3 linked regions of the Styela clava genome follow. The protein of the gene in region 2 binds, or shares a complex with, the protein of the main gene of each other region. Links are inferred from orthologs where the notes say so. Each region holds a gene or a part of one and is shown on either strand. Other genes may lie near its edges.

Region 1 (8,271 bases), on a different chromosome or scaffold from region 2:
AAATAGGTCAAAAATTTCGAAATAGGAAATTTGATATAGAAAAGAAGATTAGGGAAAATAGAAATATATATATATAATCATTGAAAAACTGGCTGTTGCAATCTTCCACAAGTTTCATAATTTTGCCGTAACAGTACGGCACACTATACAAATCGGGTGACATTCTCCCGTTTCAGAGAAACCCATTTTACAGATGATCAGACACCCCTCCTTTGGGAGACGTCTGGACATTGTTGTCCCTCAATATCGGTAAGAATACAGTATAATGAAGTTGCGCAAAATACTACAAAAAAACGCAATACAGTAACGTCATCATTGAATTCCTTGGGAAAAACTACTCCGATTTACCAAAGGAAAATTTTTTTACCGTAGCATTCGAGAGTTTTTAGCAAAAAATGGTCATATGATGGCCGCAATTAACTTAGATTATTATTGAGACGAGCATAGTGTGATATGACGCATCTGACATGGTCCCAGACACCCCTCGTTTGTGAGACACATAGAGTGTTCGTTTTATAGAGCAAAATGGAGGGAAATTCTTGGAATTTAAATAGTGTGGTATACTGTATGATAAGTTATTGAATTTTATCTCCATCAGTAAAATACATGAGTCCTGCACAGTGGAGTTCAACACTTCAAATGATGCGCCTCGGCAATAAGTTGTTGAAAATAAAATCTCAGGCAAACACACCTCAACCAACTTCTCTCCTTTCATGACATTCAGATGTGTTCCAGTAGGTGCTTTTCCTGCCCTGAACATAATAACATAGAATAACTATAGCAATCTATAGTTTGATAGTACAGTATACTTCCTACTGCTGTACTGCTAGTTGAAAGCTTATTTTTGTATTTGGCTTGACAGTCAGCGCATTGTGCTAAATATTATTACACGACTGACTGGACTACATAAGTTCGGATTATAACATAATTATGAAAGTTACAATTATAACAGGATTTGATGGACTCTTCGGAGCCGCACATATGTTATGGTACCGGTACTGTACCGCTGGTTGGTTACAGCTTTCTCAACCATATGCCCATCAAGTCCATGCATCTGAAACAAATGTGGGTAACGGGTGAAGGATAGGATAGGATTTACATATTTATCCCGGAGGAGAGGAAAGCCGATAAGACGGCTTATTCATATGGCGAACCACGGCCTCTCGTCCGGTTACCATTCCAAGTCGGGTATGGGATTAGATTTACTGTATTGTTTGTTTTCGGAAGCATGGACTTGGTGGTGGAGGAAGCCGTAACCGACCAGCGGTCCAGTCTGGATTTCATGGCCTTTTTGAACGAGAAATCGGGCGTGCAATCAGAAATTCCCGCGTGCAAATAAGTATTTCTGGCGTGCAATTATAGCTCACGGCGTGCAAAACAACTGCGCCCGCGTGAAACTGACTTCGATCTAGGATACCTCTCAATACATCCGCGTAAAATTACCGGAATAAAAATGGATAAAAAATATGTTGAATCATAGCAAAAATGGACGTTTGACCTTTGACCCCCAAACATTATTTCTACAGTTTGTTGCTAATTTTGAGAGTGGTTGTGCGACTTTGGTTACCGGCCAGACTGGATTCCATGGCAGGTGCACGCCCGAGGGCGCTAGCGCTCCGCAAAAATGCACGCGAGCGAAATCAATTTTGCACGCCGAAAATTTGCAATTGCTCACTAATGTAAATCGGTTTAAATGGTTTTAAAATCAATAATCCAGTAATATAAAGATGCCAAAATATTATAACTCCACAATTGTCGACAAATACCAGCTTGCAAGATTTGGTCTGATCGAAATATTGCGAAGCAAAAAAGACCATGGACCTTTCCCCGACCTTTGACCCGCGAAAAATTCCTCTCGTTGTTACGTCCTTTTTTGCATCTTGCTGATTGGCCAATGTCACGAAGTAAACAAGGAAGTCGATGCTCGGGGGAAAGGTCCATATCGTGTTGAATGATAGGAATCCCGTGAGAATAGATATGGACGAAAAGATCGCCTCCGCACCAATGGCCAAGTACGGCTCTGATTCAGCGTATTTTTCATACAATAATTTTACACGAATGTACTGAACAGTACCGGTATCTAAAGTTGCTCAAACACTCCCAAAATTAGTGACAAAGTATGAAAATAATATTTGGGGTCAAAGGTCAAACGTCCATTTTTTTCTCTGATTCAACGTATTTTTTTCCGATACCGGTAATTTTACGCGGATGTATTGAGAGGTATCTGATGTCAAAGTCAGTTGCACGCGAGCGCAGTTGTTTTGCACGTCCTGAGCTATAATTGCACGCCAGGAATTCTTATTTGCACGCGGGAATTTCTGATTGCACGCCCGATTTCTCGTTCAAAAAGGCCATGAAATCCAGACTGGGTTACCGGTACTGTTCAGTACATCCGTGTAAAATTATTGTTTGAAAAATACGCTGAATCAAAGCCATAACTGGCCAGCGTCGGTGAGGGGGCGATCTTTCTCACTGGATTCCTGTCATTCAACACGATATGGTGTTTTTTGCTTCGCATTTTTCGATCAGGCCAAACTTGCAATCTAGTATTAGTCGACAATTGTGAAGTTATAATTTTTTGGCATCTTTATATTACTAGATAATTGATGTACAAACTATTTAAACCGATTTACATCAATGAGCAATTGCAAATTTTCGGTGAACAAAAATGAATTCGCTCGCGTGCATTTTTGTGGAGCGCTAGCGCCTTCTGGCGTGCATCTGCCATGGAATCCAGTCTGGCCAGCGGTTACGTGAACCACCCAACGACGGCGAGGAGTCCAGCAATCCTCTCGCACATAACCATCCCTGCATGGGATTCGAACCTGCGAACCCACGCAGAGTAGTTAGAGGTGCGGTGGCGAATGTATTCCTAACGCTTAGCCCGTTGAGCCACGCCGCCGCGCCTATACCCATATCTGCATATTGGACATGAACTGATAACTGGACAACAGTTCAAGGTTCGCCATAGCAATAAGCCATTTCCATTCCTCCCCAACCTGCTAACAGGCTGAATATCAAAATCCTATATGAAACATGATATCTTAAGTCATACTGTCAGTAAGTAAAAAACAAGGAAACTCACCAAGAAGGAACTTCAAAATCCACTTTCGCTGGATTAGCAAATTTCCCGGAAGGTTTAATTGCCGTCATTTCAATATCCAAGCCTCAATAACTAAACCACTCTCTCAAACGTGCAACATTTTCCAAGAATCTAATCGAAAGCTATCCAAAATATCTATCAACATGCACACACAACCGAACTTGCAGACAATATAGAGGTGGATGGAGTCAATATATATTGGGAAATGAAAATTCCATTTTGTTTGAGTTTCATAAGATTACTGTTAGGATTAGGAAAATATTTCATGATTATGGTGGAGAAAGAAAGAACTGATAAAATTACGATATTGCCATCGACGGCCTTTTTTGTGGGTTCAAATCCATGTTGCGCATGGTAATATTTACTCGTTCTAGATACATAGACTTGCTGATAAAAAACTGTAACCGAGTACGCTGACCATTTCGATCATACAGTACATATTTATATTTGCGAGATTCGAAGTCAAGCATTAAAAATCAATCGTACACAAATTACGAGCAAATAAATAAGTACACATTTTTAATGGAAAAGGAAATTACGGGGACAACCAAGGTTCAAAAATCGCAGTAATCAATTTCAATGTCGCAACTACTGTATTTGCATCAGGTGCGACAAGGGTTGGGATTTCGGAACAAGTTTTTGAAATCCCGGTATCGATATATCCCGGGATTGAGCCGTATAAAGTAAAGATTGAAACATCTTGCATGACAATAAAATCATGTATTTCTTTCATGTAATATCGACGCAGAAATATTAGGGCATCTAGGGCAGTGGTTCCCAACCATTGTTATATCGTGGCACACTATTTAGCTCTTTAAATATTCGCGGCACACCTATCACAAAACACGAACATTTTCTACCCATAAAGAGTGCAATAGTCGAACGCGAACAAATGGTTAACAGTTACCGATATTAGAACTGTTTTCTTAAACATGAATGAGAGCGTCTTCGGAGCACCTCACATTATTCTAAAAGTAGCGCGGCCTCACGGGTAATACGTGGTCTTCAGACGCACCGCCGATCACGCGCTTCGGTTTTGCTCGCCCTTCCCTGTTCCATGTTACGCCCTTATCATTATCACATGTATTCTCACTTTTTCACAACCTTATTCATTTTTGTTACAATTCAATATTTTTCTCCCATTACCAAAAATCATTCAATAGAGCTATTGTCGGCAGTTGCGAGAGAATTGAAAGTGGCAAACAAACTGTATTTCATTACAACAATTAATTATTATCGCTAAAAACACTAAATAGGTTTAAAGTTGTTATAAACGATTTTTACAGCTGGACATATCTTTTCACGTTTGGAATTTCCGATTTTGGAAAGCCCGAACATAAATTTGATGGCAAAGATCATAGCATTTACTATGTCGAAACGCTTATTCAACTTTTCAGACCGCAGAAACTATCTGAAAAAGATGACCGTTTTTGTGTTCGAGGTATGGAATAATCGTAAATTCCACCACGCTTTTGTGAAGTAGTGCAATTTACTAAATTCATGGAGGATTTATTAAGTTTCATTGCATCAGTGTTTGGACTACCACGCGTTTTAATATTGGTTTTATTACTATTTCTTTTATTATTTACTGGCGTGATTACAGATCGCAAGGGTGGTCAAAATAGTATATTTTCATCTAATAATTTTAACGAATTGTCAAATATCGGGTTGAATTCGAGATTTTATTCCGATTTTCAACTTTTAGGTCGGTTTGGATCTTTCTTGTCACCGTTTGTAAACTAACTGTCCCAATTTTAAGCTAAAAATATTATCATTTCTGACGCCGGAATGCGGATATTTATGAAGACGATAGTTGACCTTCTTGACTTCACTTTTCAACTGTGTGGCTGTTTTATTTTCGTATATAGTGAATTAAAACACTGCGAAGTCATTGTGTGCATCCTGAATGCTATTTTGAGTTCAAATTATAATTAAATAAGTCGGCAATAATGACAATTCTACTAGTCAAATAATAATTCCTTGGCACAATTTGAGGAAAATTTCACACAATAATTCTACTTCCACTCAAACTGTGAGCGTGGATTGTTTTTTTCAAAATAAGTATTATATAAAATAGTATAACCTACCATCTGTGAGAATATCTATAGGTGGATAATAAAGCCTTAATTAAATTCTCGGGATATTTAGGAAATAATTGCGGGATCGGGATTGAAAAAAACAGTCCAAATCCCGGGATTCTTAGGATGTATATATTTTATACCTCATTCATGTTACTTTTTAGGCTAACCTGTAACAGCGCTGTGGGTATCGCTGCTTGAAGACCTCCATACGTCCCTCGCGACTCCGGTCACACAACTAACATAATTAGTACTATTATTTATTTATTCATTGCATCAGTTTTTATTTGAACTTGTTTTTGTAATGACAAATAAACGATTGGCTGATTGATTGATTAAAGTTTAGGAATTTAAGCAGTTAGTACTGTTATTGGACACGAAATGGATTTTTTTTCATGTTGTTGTTGTATAAATTTTGCCCTACGGTTTCACGGCGCGGCGGTGTGGCTCATCGTGCTAAGCGTTAGGAATACGCTTGCCACCGAACCTCTGATTACTCTGCGTGGGTTAGCAAGTTCGAATCTCAAGCAGAGATGGTTACGTGCGAGAGGATCGCTGGACTCTTCGCCGCCGTGGGGTGGTTTCCGTAACTGCTGGTCGGTTATGGCTTCCTCCACCATCAAGTCCATGCTACCGAAAACAAATGACTAAGTTAACTAATCCCATACCCGAGGCCGTGGTTCGTCATTTTGGTAAACCGTCCTATCGGTTCCCCCCCCCCCCCCTCGGGATAAATATATAAATCCTATCCTACCCTATTAGTGGGCCAATCGCTTAGAATCAATTAGGCAATTGAAAGTGGTTAAAGATTGTTGTTGTGCATGAAGCTTATTACTTTCGTTTTATTTTAAAATTTCCATGGGTTTTATGGGATTCGTTTTACCACCCTGAAGTTTTGTGTGACGATGTCACCAGGATTAAAAAAATTGCGCACCGTGTGGCGGTTGCTCTCACCATCGCATTTCAATGATATGATACCATTGAACTGAAAAAACATGGAACGATCTTCTCTCTCGTTTTGCGTTGTCTCGCCGCGGGATCATTTGATCGCCGCCATCTTGGCATTTATGCTGCCAAAGTTTCTTCGTGTTGCATATGGTTTTGGCCAGTATTTCGTCTATTTTAGTACTCAGTGTCACTTTTGGGACCCGGAAATGATAAGTCGATTTGCCAGACTCGTTTTATTGAGAATATTCAAAACGGTTGACTAAAATATAAATGAAATATTTAGCACCAAATAAGTCGAAGACAAATGATACAGAATATAAAACTGATATCAATTAATCAATCATCATTTTATTCGTCAGCACAAAATAAACGTATCATAAGAAAAAAACATTTCAAATACAATATGAACTTAACTTAAGTTGTGTGACAGGAGTCGCGAGGGACCTCATAAGGTCTTCAGGCAGCGACACCTTAAAAGCTCGCTGATTCAGGTTAGTGAGCACAAAAAGTTAATGAAACACCAAAACACTTCAAAAAATATTATAAGAAAAAAAAAGCAGCATTTTCGGAAAACATAATATTAACAAATATGTTTCATGAATGGTTTGCAAAAGCAAAACATTCCAGTTATGAGCATGTTTCTTAAAATCCACGACCAACGATGCAACTTAATGCACTGTACAAATTCATTAGATATATAGAAAGGAAAATAAATAAAAAATAATATACTGTATTAATTACTCAAGCGGGATCAGCCATTGTCCTGATCACTGGCATGGTGTAAGCAAGCAATTAAAAATTTGATTCTCAGAAAGTCAGACTCCACGCACATCTGATTTTCCCGCAGAACAGAGCGTGGATAGACAGAATCGAATGTTTGGTCAGAAAAATAGGGCTTGGGGGTTTGTTGCAAAGAAAAGCAGTACAGGTACCGGTAGTGGTTAATTATCAATTCAAAGAAAGGTAGTCACTAATGTACTTCATTTTTAGTTCTCTTTTGAAACCATGATAAGAGAGTGATCTTAGGGTACCTGATATATTGTTCCATAACTTCACACCAATGTATTTGATGGATTTCTGCGTTCTACATGTGTGTATCTGGATACATGGAAGGCACCTTGTGATCCGATCTTGTGCAATACGAATGAACGCTAGTTTGCTTGGTGAAATACCCTACAAATGCTCTTGGAGGTTTGTTGTCAAAGTACTGGTTGATAAGTTTCAATACCTCGAATTCATGGACGTGGCAAAGTTTCATTACTTTAAATTTATGGTACAAGTGGTCAAGTCTGGATCGTAAGGGTGCATCACCTATAGCTCTGATCGATTTATTTTGCAACACCTCCAATCTGCGAAGTAAGTTGGAGGATGCGCTTCCCCATGCTACAATACCATACTGAAGATATGACTGAAAGAGCGAAAAATAAACTAATCGCAAAGCCGATGTGGTGAGAAATTTTTCAAGTTTAAATAATATACCTGCTTTTCTACCTAGCTTGCCAGCAATGTAGTTGATGTGTGTTGCCCATTTTAACCGATTACCAATGTGTATGCCCAAGTATTTGTAGGAGTCCACATTATCAAGTAAAATGCCATTAATTAATGGAAATTTGGAACAAGTACCTACTTCTGTCATTTCTATTGGAGTTAATGAAAAGGGATTTGGATTTTGCAATATTTAGTTAGTTTATTGATAGTCATCCAGGTTGCAATATTTTGTATTTCAGAGTTCATGTGCATTTTCAAGTTGTTTGGTGAAACTGAACTACCGAATAATCCGGTATCGTCAGCAAAGAGTTTGACCAATAATTTGGTGGCATGAGGAAGATCGTTGACGAATAATACGAACATTAATGGGCCGATTATTGTGCCCTGTGGAATTCCGCATTGCACAGTTGAGAATGTGGAGCAATTTGTCCCTACTTTGACATATTGCTGACGTGAGCTTAAATAGCTCTGGAAGAATTTTGATGCATGACCGCGAATGCTATAATGGCTCAGCTTTCTAACTAGTATGTGATGGTCAACAGTATCGAACGCCTTTTTAAGGTCGAGGAATATTGCACCGATATGTTCTTTTTCCTCAAGTTTGTCATAAAAGTAAGTTATCATATCTAGTATAGCATGAATGATAGAGTGCTT
Region 2 (8,201 bases):
CGTGCTTTCCAAATATCGATCTTGTAATATAAAAGGTATATCCTTAGTATAATAAAGATATATTACTATGTTTAGGCTTTGGAAAAATACAACATCGAAAAGGACATAGCTGCTTACATCAAAAAGGAATTTGACAAAAAATATAACCCAACATGGCACTGCATATGTGGACGAAATTTCGGAAGCTACGTCACCCACGAAACGAAGCATTTCATATATTTTTATTTAGGCCAAATCGCCATTCTTCTTTTCAAGTCAGGATAAAACCCGTAACAAACATTATGATACTTATCATAAATACATGTACAATTCACTGTTCACTGAGTGTTTCCTATTGTGCTCACTGTGCAATGTGATCAACAATTTTGCTGTCTTTGATGTAAAAATTTTCTACTTTATTTCTATTCCATTTTGTATAACTCTGTCTAGTTATTTTCGTCTTCAAAGCGACGTGTGATGTAAATCCTAGCGATATCATATTTGACTGAGACAAGTAGTGAGATAGTAGTGAACTGGCGAGTTTGAAAACACCGATTAGTAAGCTTTACATAGTTAGATTCGAATAATTATGGTTTATTTTTATGCCATTTCAAAATATCTGCGCTTTACATCTGGGCTGTTATCAACTTACCGTCTCGCTTTCCTGGCGTAATGAGCGAAAATATTTTTATGACTTGATAAAATTTACGTTTGTCTCCCCAAGAAGTTAGATATTGCTCCACAATTTTCAGATTCGCAATTATTAAATTTACACGACCTCAAGCTACAGGAGTAAAAACATTAGCGCCAGTGTTATGGGGACTACCTTGTGAACTCAAATAGCACCAGCTTAATCATATTACAACTCTGATGAAATGTAGTCTTCAAGACAATTACAGTAGATTCATAGAATACGGACGTCAGGTCGGGTATAAAATTAGCAGACCAGTTAGGTACATACGGACCAGCAAACGTATCAGCCATTACCACTGTATTTGACGCAGAGGTAGTCAGTCACGCGATGGAAATCGTATTTCCTAACGCTCATCACGGTACATCAGAAGATTGCTTTTAAATTCATAGCCTTAATCGTTCGGTTACGTCTGTTTTCAATTTCAAGACAATCCAGACGATAGGCATACTAGGTAATATATATATTAGCACAGATCTTGATGTCGAGGATATTTGCCAATTCTTGTACTGTCACTTGTCCACTCAAGCTGTGCAATTAATTAATATGTAAAAAAAACTTGAAGAGAAGTGTCATTAGAAAATTGAGCCATAAGAATGTAAACATTATCTTTGTGCATAGATGATGCAATAGAAAATATTGCGAAGTACAGAATTTTCTGTGGGACCTTGAGTGTGTTTGGATGTACAATCTCAATTTTTATAAGATAGGCTAATGCGCCATAATTGTTTCAAGAATCAACATTTGCATTTATTTTTGAAGTTTGTTTTTCTAGTTATTTGGGTATCTAAGGATAATTTTGCTGTCATTGCATCGATCTCAGGATCTATATTTAAATTCCGTGTTTCCTAAGAACCACCAACGATTTGTCGTACAAAATCAAGCAGAACGACAAAATATATATCGTCACGCTAATAACCGAATTGCGTAAGTCATTTTTCGCAGTTTTGAGAAAAACGTAAAAAACTTCCTAATGATATTGTTATGCCATTGAGAGTCAATAATTTGCCATGGTTCAATTTTTTTTATCGTAGTCGGATTTAAGTTAATTTGTATGACGCAGTTAAGTGACGTCATAATGGCGCACTGTGACTTAGGCAGAAATGTGTCTATGACTTGGGGACTAACGCAATTTTGCAACTTCACTATATGCACCAGTCTTGAAAACTAAACATTCCAAAAACGAATATAATTCTCAGTATCTACAATGTCTTATCCCCAAAATAGCTAATCAGTTCCAATTAAATTATTTTTTATGTTTAAAAATAAAGCCAACCAAGGTAAATTGGACTCGGGACAGTAAATATCACAAGTGCACGTCTTCCTATACTGTAGTAAAAATTCAAATTAATACGCGCTAAGCTAGAATCCGAGAGGCAAAAACTCAAAAATACGTCGCCGAGGTTATTTTGCTTTTGTGACGTCACAATAGTCCTGCGGTAACACTGATAATTCATTATGACGAAACAATTGCACAAATGTGCATGTCATACTAAATCTCCATGGGTTTCGGAATTCCTAAAATAAAATCTGAGTTAACCGAAAGGTGCGCAGCATTACATAAATACCCATTTTATAAAAAACTCAAAATCGCCAAAAAGGACTCACGCAATTCGGTTATTAGCGTTACGATATTTTCCATGATTTTTTTTTTTGTCTCATATCGCTTAACTACGTATATATATGTCATCAACAGAAACCTCAAATTTTCTCCGATTTGCCTGAACAACAAAATTAATTTTTCCTAAATTTCCAATATGATGTCTAATGTGATGTTGGTAAAAAACAAATCTTACAGTTTAATTGAGCTTTCAGAAACATATTTCGTCCAGTCATTAACAATTTCAAATTTCTTCCTCAGATTATTATACCAAGGATTGAAATAATTAGATGCAAATTCCAATCCGCACGGCGAAGATAATTATCCGTATTAGGTTAATAATAAGAGTTCCTGCATGTGACGTGTCACGCTATTACGTTTGTTATTAATATTGATTCGCTGTTTAATTAAGGTGTATAAACACTGCTTGATATCTTTTCAGTGAGGTTTTAGGATTGTATTCTGTACTATTGTCGAAAACTACAATAAAATCTATAAGTCTGTCTACTCATCAAAGTTGGGGGTAACCCATGCTGTGATCGTTGGTACAGAAACGAATTACGAGTTTGGGACAAAACTTTTGTCAGAAAATTCTGGGTCATCTAATACAATTCTGACCAACAAATCGTATGTTGACACTTGACAGAATTCATCACTAGATATTGCGCTGCTACAGCGTAGATAAAAATGCTATTTTAAGTAATTATCAGAGCCGTGCTGCAACCTTTAGAAGACCATTACATCAATATTCTTCGAATGTTAGACAATTTTCAAGTTGTCCCGAACCGTATTGATCAAGTTTGTTACGAAACATCGAAAAAATCTCAGGTTTGGGCTCATTCATGATCAGGGAATGTTACGAACGATTTGAAATACACTTTTCGTGTTTTAATTCTTTGAAAAATAACAAATTGTCTCGGATCAAATACAATTAGAATTGACTACAAATCAATATAAAATTACTACACATTATGCTAGAAAAATAATTGGCCCAGTGATTTTTTGTCCCTTCCAGCATAAAAATTATTCACGAACAGCTATTGTCGTATGTTCTTTTTTTTGTTTGATTGTAACATCAACAAAACTTGAGCAAATAAAGTATAGGGATAGTTTATTTCAAAGCTCATGTTTTGTGCATTGGTATACAGTAGCCTATATCTAGCACGCAATATCGTTTTCAAGTTTTATCCATTGTTAGTTGTTGGCAAGAGATGTAACTACTATTGTTGTGCTATTTTTATGTCCATATACTCTTTCAGTCACACGTATTGTCCTATCAGTACCGTTCTGATCAGTTTTTTAGGGAAGTTATATAAAGCCTTTTGGTATTTCAAAATTGCTTCCCGAGCAATACCGTGATATTTTCCTTTCTCGCGTTCGGTTGTGTTATGTCGCTTAAAATTACATTCTTTCTTGACAGCTATCACTTGAAAACACACCGGCCGCTGTGGTTTAACGTTGTTGTGGATAAGGGAATACGTTTTTTCATTAAACTCGTTGTATGATGAATTGTTATATTTGACTAATTTTATAACTCATAGATCGTGAGGCGCAACGTCAGCTATGTGGTTCGTCACTGCTGTCTTGAAAATAGAGTAGTCTTTTTATTGAAATGAAGGCACAAAACGTCTCGCGAGCTTAAGGCACTGATCTTAGATAAAATGACAATTCACTTCCTTGTACTGATAACAGGACGCCACGCGAGTTTGACATCCCTGGTTTAGTGCACGTTAAAATTGTTCTGGAGACGTACGAAATGTGTCGATGGGCAGCAGTTTGGACCACCCTAACCTAACAAATGATGTTTTGGCAGTTTTGCGGAAATTTAGATGTAAATCAAAATGCCTTCTTCCGAGTTCTGATTTACCGTGTTTCCCCGAAAATAGGACAGGGAATTATCTCAATTTTCTCTCGAAAAATAACACAGAGTGATCATTGAATTATCTGATTTAGATTTAAATTTCCGGAACACAACTGAAAAGAAAATCGATTTTATATTAATGAAGACGAAAATTACCAAGAACAACAACAAAATATCAAAACGATCCATAGGTCCACCCACTTGTCCAATAAACAATTCTGTGAGCTCCCGCTCGTGAAAGCACTTGCAAAACGAGCTTAAAAATTTAGCGAGGTCAAGGGTCGACTAAACAACAACAAATAACTTGTGCTCCAACCAAATGGCCCCCTAAAGGCGCCAGAGTACTGTAATGCATTCAGGTTGCAGGTTCGTGTTTTACTGTTTGTGATTTTTACTTAGTCTGCATTTCGCCATTTTCAAGCTGGGTAAGGCACGTTCAAGGAATACTGTGGAGATGAATACAACGCTTGTAAGCGATTTATCAGACGTGGAAAATCTTTGCCCGTCGCTGAATCTACATTTAAAGCCGTACGCTAAAGTTAATGTCTGCGTTGCGTTGCCGCAAATGAAGGTAAATTTTGAGAATGTAGAGCTGAGCTTCAACTGACGTAATCTACCATTGGCTGCATAATCCAGTAATGAGATAATGCAGTACGATAATGCATTGGACTTGCACCAAACCGCCTAACCCTGTAACCTCCATAACTTCTGGAGAAATGAATGAAATAGCCAATGAACACCTGTACAACACGCATATTTCGGCTTGTATTAACAAGCCAAAACATATGTCAATAAAAAAATATATGGGCCTCTTGAAATGTGAGACGCTTTAATAGGTACCTTTATCACGTTCTGTTTGCTCTGATTAATTGACTTGACCTATGTAAAAATCCACATCTGCATCATCTTCACCGTTTTGTAGACTGGACTGTGCATCAAAGCCCCAGTTGGGATGTTCCCTTTAAATAATTTTACACTTGTGTATTCAAGTGTTTCAAATTCTGTTAGTTTCACGCTAGGTTTTTCACGGGGCCTTGGTAGATTTGCATGTAGGCTCAGACATTTGGTGTGCATACGTCACTGATTGAACGCCAGGATTTTTCATTTGCACGCCTTATTTATTGGGAAGAAGGCCATGAAATCCAGACTGGTTGAAGGTGTAAGATCGCAGTTGTACATATTTGGCAGTACATATTCTGAAAATGATTATGTCTCTATGTCTCTTTTTTGTACTAAATGCTAAAATGACTGAACTATTGAGTGGGAGTGGTGACTCCTCTGCGGCCCATGGGCCGGGGCCACGGCCCATCGAATTGGGCCTCGGCCCATCAGGCTATGGGCCGCGGCCCATCAAGTTGTGTAAAGAAACTATTCACTTGGCTAACACAGACAGTCCCCGAACTCATAATAGAACTATAATGTAAAAAATCTGAATTTTTTTTGTCCTAACCCTAACCTGGTACACATACTACAGGAGTATATTTTTTTGGTTTGAATATTGACAATTTGGTAAAAATTGAAAATTTTGTTAAGATAATTGAATTTTTCCTGATGGGGCCATGTGGCCCAATTAGATGGGTCGTGGCCCCGGCCCATGGGCCGTAGAGGAGTCACCACTCCTGTAGGAACTATTCTCCCCAATCTGCCCTATTCATGTAAAAAGTTACTACCGAAAGACTGGCCTGGTCTATTCATATATAGCCTGATTGTATTTTGTTTTAGGCTTTGTTTTTGCGTACCTAACTTGATTTTATTTGTTTAGGTTGTTGGACAGACGATATCAAACTGGGAAGTAATGGAAAAGTTAAAAACAATGTGCACCCCTCACCAATTCACATTGCTTCGAGTGGCAAAGAGTAACTTGGAATTTGTTAGGTTGTAGTTTTATGATATACCTTGTTTTCTATTTAATTGGGGGTCAATTGTATACCAGATCTGATGTTTGGCAGAATTGTTTTACCTTGATTACATCGAAATGATTCTGTAAATTGTTTAAAATTATTGTTTTTTGTTGTCTAGATTTGAAGGTGAAGTGGAAAATAAATCACTAGTTTCTACATTTGTTTCAATGTTGGATGGAAAACATATCAAATTATCTGGGTTTTCGGGCTTGCTCAAGGTACAACAATTTTTATTTTGTTTTCATAAAGTGGTCCGTGTGACTTTATTAGAGCTTGACAATCCTTGCCTACATGAACTGTTCAAAAAATTGAGAGATCTCCAAAATTAGGGGTTCTCAAAACTGTTGAGTGTTAAGAGTTAAAAATGCACATCCCAATACCTTGTCTAGTTAATTATAACGGATTCAGTTTTTTCTTTGTGTACTTCTCAGCAAAATGATAAACAACCATAAATATAGATAAAATTGTAGCCCGAGAAATTCAAAATTGCATTTAGAAGGGTCACAAATTCAGAACTAGTTTGATGACATTATTACCGTATATGCTAACCGTATTATTATTACTGTACAACAGCAATCAAAATGCAAGAGTGCAATTATTTGTCATGGTAATAGATGGATAATACAAGTTCCACTGAAAGAAGGTATTGCCACCATAAGGACCCCCAATCCATTCCTGTGATTACTAACTCCACAGCTTCAAATCGATTCTAATTATAAAACTAGCGTTTTCTGTCGATACTAACTTTTTCTCATCGTGTACACTCTTGAAAAGTCATTTTAAATGTTACTCCGTATAATAACTTTTCAGTTATGACCATGCATGAAATGGCTAATCATATGGGAAATATTGGGAAACCAGTTATGCATGGGCGAGATCATAACCCAGATTGAGCTTACTATTGCGATACCCTGTTGATGTCGAAGCATAAAGACTAGCCATTGTCACAGTTTTGAATATCGCTTGAAAGAATATCCTGAGCTCAGTTAAAAATATGTTAAATAAATTACTGCTGATATTTGTACAGCTTTCTTATGTGAGAAAATTTTAAATGGTTTACCCGTCTGCAAAATTGGTTTTAAAATTTCATGGTCCGCAAGCTGAAAATAGTTGAAAACCATTGATTTAAAATAGCAGATTTTTCATTGTTGACCTTCTCTGCTCGCGTTTCTCTACATAACTCGAAAGTAATTAACACATCAAATAAATTGTGATGAAAAATATTAGCTAAATAAGTTGCATTTAACATCATTTAGGTGACATGTGGAGAAAGCAAAATACCATTTCCATCTCGTCATGACTGGGATTCATATTTTCGTGATTCAAAAGATTATGATGAGACTCAGCCAGGAGAACGTCCAGACACAGTACACATAAGCAATATACCCTGCAAATTTTTTATGCCAAAGGTGGGTATTGTATGACTGGTTTTGTGCACACGTCCTAAAATATTATTTTTATTTAAACAAATATGAATTGTATGATTAAAATTGTTCATGTCTTACTAGGGGTTGTCAGAGAATTTGCTCAAAGCAATGTACCACGCACACACTATGAAGCATATTCATTTTGTTCTCGAATATTTTTCATCAAACTGTTCTGTATCAAAAATTGTGCTGTATGCAATATTTTGTCAGTAAAAACTTCTAATTTGGAAAGACCTACTAATATGACGCTTATCCACACCTTTCACTCTAAACAAGGCACTGTACATGTAGCCACTGATATCTAATGACAAATAAGGAGCTATTATTTAAAAGAACCTAAATCTTCCTAGTTCGGCATTTCTATCCAATTTATTACACTCTGGATGGGGTTGTGGTGTTCTGCCAACACAGTTAATAGGTCTTAAGTGCTGGGCCCTCATGCCCATAAAATGATTCATCCTTTATTATATTCAATCTGAGGTTATATCTCGAATGGTAAATTATGCTAGAAGTCTGGAATATGACTTATACGAGGTGTGGCTAAAAAGAAACGAGACTGACGTCACAGATTGCGCAACACGATTAACCATTGGTAATCAACACTTTTACAGTGTGGTGTAATATGTGTTCTTTGTTCAACAGCTTTTTTGACACAATATCGCAATTATTTTTGCTCTTTAGGAGCCATAGGTGAATGTGATTAATTGCTTGTTGAAAAAAAAATTGCCGTGCGAGATCTGAT
Region 3 (7,473 bases), on a different chromosome or scaffold from region 2:
CTTGAGATGGACAGATATGGCAAAAAAAATGCCAGCTAAAATTAATCGCTCCTTGGATACCAGGTATAATGTACCTAAAACAAGAACTGACATTATCGATTCAGCATTTCCTCTACTTGATATAGTCATAGATATTGGATTAAAAAGCCATATAGATAAAGCTATTTTAGTAAGTTTTCCTTTATCATGATTTATTGCCATTGTATTCTGTATAAGCCATCCAGCTAATAAGTCAGCAGAAATAAAAACTAGTTTTCCCCACAGAATATGAATAATATGACAAGGCACCAACATCCATGCGAGTAGAGGACTATATCTATATGTGGGTCTGTTATAAGGAGACTCTCCATTAAAGACATATTGAGCAGCATCAGTGAAAACATGATAATCGACATCAGTGAATTTGAGTTCCAAGTTTTTATCTTGCCATTCACCATACACAATAAGTCCAATACGTATGAAAAAAGCACATAAATGCAACTGTTGTAATGATATATCCATGATTACGTTAAAATATCAAAGGTTAACTTTGGGTTGATGAAAATCCTCCATCTTCTCCTTTCAACATTGACTTTTCTAAATCTGTTAAATCAATTCCTTGTTCTTTCAATGCCTTTTTAACACAATTTTTGTAACTCTGAAAAAGAGTTCCACATGCGTCTTCATGTGTTACACTTTTATTTTTCAAATAGCTTTCCCTAAACCACTGATTGAAGCATTTATCGTATTCCCACTTCAAGGGTGTGCAATCTTCACCGATACTATTCATAACTTGAAAGACAAGACCAACAAAATATGCCCCACTTGCACTGCCAACTGTAAAACAAAGAAAGCAATAATTTGGGGCAGTTATTGAGCGTTAAACAAAAATAATTTGACATCCATAAATACAATATTGAAATTATTTTTTGTAACTAAAATTTGGCATAATGAATCACTCTCATTATAGAGTTAATTATTTAGAATTCAACAGAATACCTTGGTTTAAATAAGCATGGTATTACATAAAATTGATCAATAAAGACCAAACATGATATATGTTACTAATTTTTTATTTATACCAGCCAACACCCATTAAAACTGAATCGATACTACGAGACAATTACATCAATCTTCAAAAGATATTCCTAATAACCATACATATATTGTATGCTTTGAGTGTATTCATTGGGTCCAGTTAGATGTAATATATATGAATTTAGAAATGCCATTGTTACACTCAATTTGGTTGATATTACTGGAATTGCACCGCAAACTCCGATTAGCAAAAAACAGGTTTATTATAAATCTCACAATGTATCATGGGTTAAATTAAAAAATATTTTAAAATCTCCGAGCATGTTTTCTAAATTTATCATAATGAAAGTCATCCGAAGCTTTATCTTTATTTTCTCGCTTTTTCGTCAATTCTACTGTAGGTTGGCGAGATGTGTTACCAACAACCAGTGGTGCAAGTTCTTGTTCTTGCTTTTGTTCTTTCTTTTTTGCAAAATCATTATCTTCACACATGTATCTCCGGTGTTGAACATAATTAACAGCCATGTTAGTTGGAACAAATGATGTAGAATTTGCCTTCTTTCTGTTTAACTGCTCATGAATTAACTTTTGTTTTGCATCCTCTGTACGCTCAATATTTTTAATTTTCGCTTCAATTCCTAAATCTATTTCAGGTATGCCGCTCAACATTTGATTTGATAACATTTCCTCAGATTGTTTTTTTACAGAAATTTTCAAATGATCCGGAAGGGCAAACAATTGATCTTCAGCCGATTTGATATTGCTAGTTTTATTCTCATCATCATTCGTGATACCCTTCCGCTTTTGTAATTCTTTTTCAATATATATTTTCAATTCAGCATCTTCATCCCTTCTGTTTGTTTCCGCTGAAAAAGTTGTTCCCAAATTTGTCACGTCACGATCTGTATCTTCATATGTTCGATCTCGATTTCTATCTTTCACTCTTCTCATGTCAATAAGTCCACCAGTACCTAGTTTGAATGGATCATTTTCAATCAGTAGTTCTTGCTCATTTGTCATTTTAGCACCAGTAGCCAAAGCAACTGCATTCACTCCTGCCTGGCGCTTGCGAATCTTTTGCATTTCTCGAGTTATTTCCACAATGCCTACAACAGATTTATCTTCATCTTCATCGCTAGACTCCTGCCTTTTCCTACGAATATTTCTCCTTTTACCTGAACTCATATTGCAGTACCGTATTCTACCAAATAGAACCTAAAAATTTATACAAAATTTTTATAATCAAAAAAAAGTCTTTCAGGGCAGCTCTAGGAAAATAAAAAACAAAAGTAAAGCTAACGCAGTACTGGGGGACGAACTAAAAGTGGACACTTGAAAATTGAGCTCTTTGAAAAAGGGAAAATGGGTGTAATATTTTTTAAAAGAATCATGAATTAGTTAAATATATTTAAATTAAATGTTGAACATGTAAGGTACAATAACTAAACCCAATAATGTGGTTTGAAACAGAGGATTGGAGGAGTGATACGCGATTGATCACCACATAAGCGAGGCACTTATTCATGAAGTCAGAAAAAAAATGGGAATTGTTACCAAAAAAAGACCATGAAATAAAAGAATGTTAGTCATACAACCTTTTATTGGTTTGCTTGCCAAAAATGACAAAATTTTCCGGCGTGCCAGTATCAACCGAATTTGTGATAACATAGGCTACCACTACTGTAGCTACTGGCATTTTTAAAGTTATATGTGAAGGATCTTGAAGAATGGATGAAAATTCCTCCAAACAGTGAAAACATAACTAATATTGAATTTATTCACCTCAAAAATAATGCATTGCTACCGGTACAGGTACTTCCAGTGCAAAACCTGCATGATAATAGGGGTCTTACTACTTACTGAATACAGAGCGAAACACCGCAAAGAGCGCAAAACAGCGCAAAAGAGTGCGAAACAGCGCAAAATAGCGCGAAACAGCGCGAAAGAGAGGAAAACAGCGCGAAACAGAAGGAAACCAGCGCAAAACAGAGGGAAACAGCGCAAAACAGGAGACGCAGTCATTACCACCTCCTGCCACGAAAGAACCACGGCGCCTCTCGCCATGGTTTTATGGCGCTATTTCCGGCATATTCACAAGGTTATGTACCGGATTATAGGTCATCATGCGAAATTTTATCTACCTTTTTGGTGCTCCAGAAGTATGTGCAGCAATATGTCGCACAACCTGAATCCGCTACACACACACACACATACTATTTTCAGGTTGTGCGCCATCTTGGTGCACATACTTCTGGAGGTCCCTTTTTACCTAACCCTAACCCTAAAGCCAACCATATCCATATGGAAAATGTTCTAAATTATGGTACCCAAAATGTGTCACCAGCAGGGGCAGACCTGCCATTACAGCATTACTGGCTACATACGTTGGTTTGTATTTTTAATTTGCTGCCGTGGTACTCCAACTCAAAACAAGGTGCCCCGAACTCATTGCAAAAAATTTTTCTGCTTCACACTGTTTCCCTCTGTTTTGCGCTCTTTCGCGCTGTTTTGCGCTGTTTCCACACTGTTTTGCGCTGTTTCCCTCTGTTTTGCGCTGTTTCGCGCTGTTTCGCACTGTTTTGCGCTCTTTGCGGTGTTTCGCGCTGTATTCAGTAAGTAGTAAGACCGTTACGAAACTATTACGAGAAAAGTTCATAACCGAGAACAGCGATTCATGGCCATATCAGGATGTAGATTTGAAAATCAATTCATACCGAGAAGTTAACAAGCAAGTATATTCAGCATGCGATCTACAGCTTCATAATCATAAATCAAGTAGAAATGAATAACACGAACACAGACAAATTGATTATACTGTGTAAGAATGTAGCCGGACGTTTCCCCGACCCCGACCCTTAAAAGATTCTCACTATACTTTATCATTACAAAATTTTCAATGCTAATTTTGAGAGTGTTTTGGAGAGTTGGCTCTTACAAACTAGCGCACACGTCCAAAACTATCATTTTTATTCAAAACAATAAACCTTGTTCCCCTCCTAGGTACTGATAGCTAATTTTAGACTAGTCTATCGCAGCGTTTGCGGTATCAATTTTGTATTTGCGGTATCGATTATTGTAACTAAACTGAAGATCCTCGGAAGGCATAGGCAATTAAGTTATTTGGTTCCCAACTATTTTCGAATATCTGACTGATCAAAAGAAGTGTCTGATCGGCGCCATAGATTCCAATTTCTACGTCATTGTTAACCTATTGCTGATTTGTAATTGTTGCCGAAATAAACAAATATGGGTATTTCCGAAGTATTCGTACCAGGTTAAGGTTAGGCCATAATTTTAATCCGATTTTCTTTATTATGGTTCTATAACGAGTTCGGGGACTGTCTGTGTTGACCAAGTGAATATCCCCGTGCCCATAGGTTTCAGTTCTTTTGCAGAATTTGATGTAGAATAGGCGAACAAAATCAGTAATCTCCATATTGGTACACATACCCCTGGAGCGGCAAAAATGTGCCAAAGGTTGGGAGCTCAGCTTGTTGCTAGGCCTACGTCATAACATATTTCCTAATTAGTTCAATTAAATGACAGATTGTTAACAAACGAAGATGAAAAACAAACACAGAGTTCCATCAGATAATACGATCCTTTTAAATTTGAAGAGGAAGATTCCGAGATCTCGCTCGCGTACCGGATAGCCGTGCTTGCGTGCCAAGTTAGGCCCATCTCTTCCCCACGTGAATATCCGATGAATACACTTGAGTATAGTGTAGGCCAGGGGTGGGTAATTACTTTCCTGAGTGGGCCGGATGATCAAAATTCAGTATGATCAGAAACGGTTATTTGCAAATACCATAAGCCCTAGACACAATAATCAATGGGCCGTTATTAGAGGGGCTGGCAAATTACGGCAGCAGCGCAAAGAAAGTTGATAGAAAAAAAACTTAACAGCTGGGCTAATGGGCTAGGATAACGTTAATAATAAAGATAGCACAATGTAACAATTGCGGTCATGATGACCGTATTTGATAAATAGATTATTCAAATCAAAGAGAATAAATGATGCGCATTCCTGTCGTTTACGAACAAAATTACTGTAACTTGGGATTTAGGAGGCAAGTGTTATTTGATTGAATTTATTTTGTATCCAAAATAGGAAACGGAAATTCCAATGGCAACAGTCGTCGTGATTACCCATTTGTTGAAATTGCCGACTTTTTCACCGTTGATGGTTTTTCTGTTGCGCAAAATATTCAGTTCAAGACTATTACTAGAATTAAAAATGTCTTGCCATATCAATTTCATATATATTATAATTAATTTAATTATATATTAAGAAAAGGAGCGATCTTGGTCATTTGATTAATTTGAGCTACTTAAGATTATTTTTAAGAAATCATCATTTGCAAAATTCCAAGGTCGGTCATAAAATCCCACGAGTACAATTGCAACTTTGAAATAATGCGGCGATATGGCGTAGCACAAACACATATTTGGGAACCGCTGGGATTTGCTATAGTCCCCGATCCGATGAAAAATAGGGATGGCGGAATCGAGTCCGGATTCGAATACAGAATCGATTCTTCGCGGAATCGACTAGAATCGATTCTGATGCATTGGAATCGATTTTCGAGGTCAAAACTTGAATTGCTAACAATGTTCAACGTTTTGTGGCAATTTCTTCACATATATATATGTATAAACTGCCTTACTGCTATGTTGAGTTGCTACGACGTCGCAAACTTCACTATATATATATTTTGCTAGAAGTTTTTTACGTTTATTTATTTCTAGAATCCCTTTGGGTTCTGAGGGATTCTTTTTTTTGTGCGATTTTGTCTCCTGTGACAGATTAGATACCCATACTACTTAGTTTTGGTTTTCTTTTCCGTGCATATATTTGAACATAGCTCTCTTGTTTGATTTTATATGGTATTGCTTAGGTAGGTATGTTTTCTCGGTGAAATATGTCGAAGAATCGATATTCGGAATCGAGAATCGGAAATTTAGGAATCGAATACTTGTAAGTAGTCATAATTAGCATCCTTAATGAAAAATAACGAAATTTTTGGGATTTATCAGGTCAAAAATAGAGCTTTGAAAACGAAATTTATGATGTTCTGCATTATATTTTGTGATATATATATATATATATATATATATATATATATATATGTATATCTTATGCCTTCGCTCCTTTCTTACAATAATCACTTCCTCATTTTCAGTCGCTAATTGGATTTGCGGATTAAATTTTTAGTTTGTATTTAGTCTCTCGTTTCAGATGACCACACAACACAATAGGGAGTTTTGCACACTTCTCGCACAGTACCAAGGAAATCCTTTTCTCGACGTCCTCATAATACAGGGATAATTCCGTGTAATATAGTTTACCGATGTATTACTGATGTTCACGTCTTAAATACCCAGGACATGCTGAAGTAACTATCAGCGATCTCAACTCAGTCGTTAAATTGATCATACAAGCATGAAAATGCCGTATTGTTTTGAGCATATCTTCCTAGGTCTACCGCACCGTATAATTTAATTTCAATTTCCCCGAAAAAACGAAACACAGGCAAGTTTGGGAAAATTGGCAAAACCTTCAATAAAGTTTAGAACATGTAGAATTACATGTGCCAGTTTACCCATCTAACACACACAAACACATATAAAAAAGATAAAAAAAACACGTGTATCATTCGGACGTCTAACTCGTGTAACATAAACACACCGCAGGCATGGTGAGTTCCAATATAAAACTGTTCAAGCGGATATGATGTGGCTATGTTTATCGTCCGGATTTGTTTACATCAGCCGCAAAGTAAACCAATAACTTGATTGAGGTAAACAACTGCGAAGTAATGTGTTAGGTGAAAACAGTGTCAGCAAAATTATTAAAAAAAATTCCAAATGTCTTCGCACGGAATTCTTTATTATGAATAAAATACGACGTGGGTGCTTTGTTGTTGTAAATTTCTTTGCATGGAATTCTTTATTTTGAATGAAATCCAACGTGGAGACTGTCTTGTAAGTTCAACGTAGTTCCATTTAAATGCCTGATAATTTCTTCCACATTATTCGAATCCTATTCTTACGTTGCCCATCATTTCATGTGTGAACTGTTCCTATCTTTTATATTCCATTTGTTTCAAGTCCACCAACTGAGTTGTTATTTTCGGCGCCGTACCAGAGCCGTCGACACGTACCTATTTAACAACGTTATATGAGCTAGGGCTCAAATAAAATTGATATCTATGGTAAGTATCTATAAGCTACCCGATTCTACGCAAGAGCGAGCAGTACAAACTGAAATTCAACCGACCGCCTACAGCTAATATAATTTTGATTGTTACGTCATGCAGAAGTCTGCTTTCATTGGCCAATGTAAGAGCGTCCTTTTCGTAAAACGCAACTTATGGAAATGGGCAGCACTATTTGTTACTAAATTTCTAAGAAATATTTTAAAATTATTTCCAAGTAGTTCTGTTATGTGCGCTA

The links. The genes of interacting proteins can lie anywhere in the genome.
Region 1: A-kinase anchor protein 17A-like (region 2) and nuclear inhibitor of protein phosphatase 1-like share a complex: the UniProt entries of both Homo sapiens proteins name them as parts of the spliceosome. The link is inferred for Styela clava from reciprocal best matches to the Homo sapiens genes AKAP17A and PPP1R8.
Region 3: A-kinase anchor protein 17A-like (region 2) and splicing factor C9orf78-like share a complex: the UniProt entries of both Homo sapiens proteins name them as parts of the spliceosome. The link is inferred for Styela clava from reciprocal best matches to the Homo sapiens genes AKAP17A and C9orf78.

Annotation. Positions count from the first base shown.
Region 1 is NC_135257.1:22,033,529-22,041,799, forward strand, and holds the start of nuclear inhibitor of protein phosphatase 1-like, read right to left. Parts: upstream 3,317-8,271; 5' UTR 3,154-3,316; coding exon 3,086-3,153; intron 753-3,085; coding exon 692-752; intron 1-691. UniProt on the Homo sapiens protein: Inhibitor subunit of the major nuclear protein phosphatase-1 (PP-1). It has RNA-binding activity but does not cleave RNA and may target PP-1 to RNA-associated substrates. May also be involved in pre-mRNA splicing.
Region 2 is NC_135263.1:13,031,463-13,039,663, reverse strand, and holds the start of A-kinase anchor protein 17A-like, read left to right. Parts: upstream 1-4,438; 5' UTR 4,439-4,585; coding exon 4,586-4,702; intron 4,703-5,893; coding exon 5,894-6,006; intron 6,007-6,150; coding exon 6,151-6,250; intron 6,251-7,288; coding exon 7,289-7,441; intron 7,442-8,201. Other genes in the region: dynein light chain 2, cytoplasmic, read left to right, coding at 76-264. UniProt on the Homo sapiens protein: Splice factor regulating alternative splice site selection for certain mRNA precursors. Mediates regulation of pre-mRNA splicing in a PKA-dependent manner.
Region 3 is NC_135253.1:1,232,557-1,240,029, reverse strand, and holds splicing factor C9orf78-like, read right to left. Parts: upstream 2,260-7,473; 5' UTR 2,203-2,259; coding exon 1,324-2,202; 3' UTR 817-1,323; downstream 1-816. Other genes in the region: GPI alpha-1,4-mannosyltransferase I, catalytic subunit-like, read right to left, coding at 1-501. UniProt on the Homo sapiens protein: Plays a role in pre-mRNA splicing by promoting usage of the upstream 3'-splice site at alternative NAGNAG splice sites; these are sites featuring alternative acceptor motifs separated by only a few nucleotides. May also modulate exon inclusion events.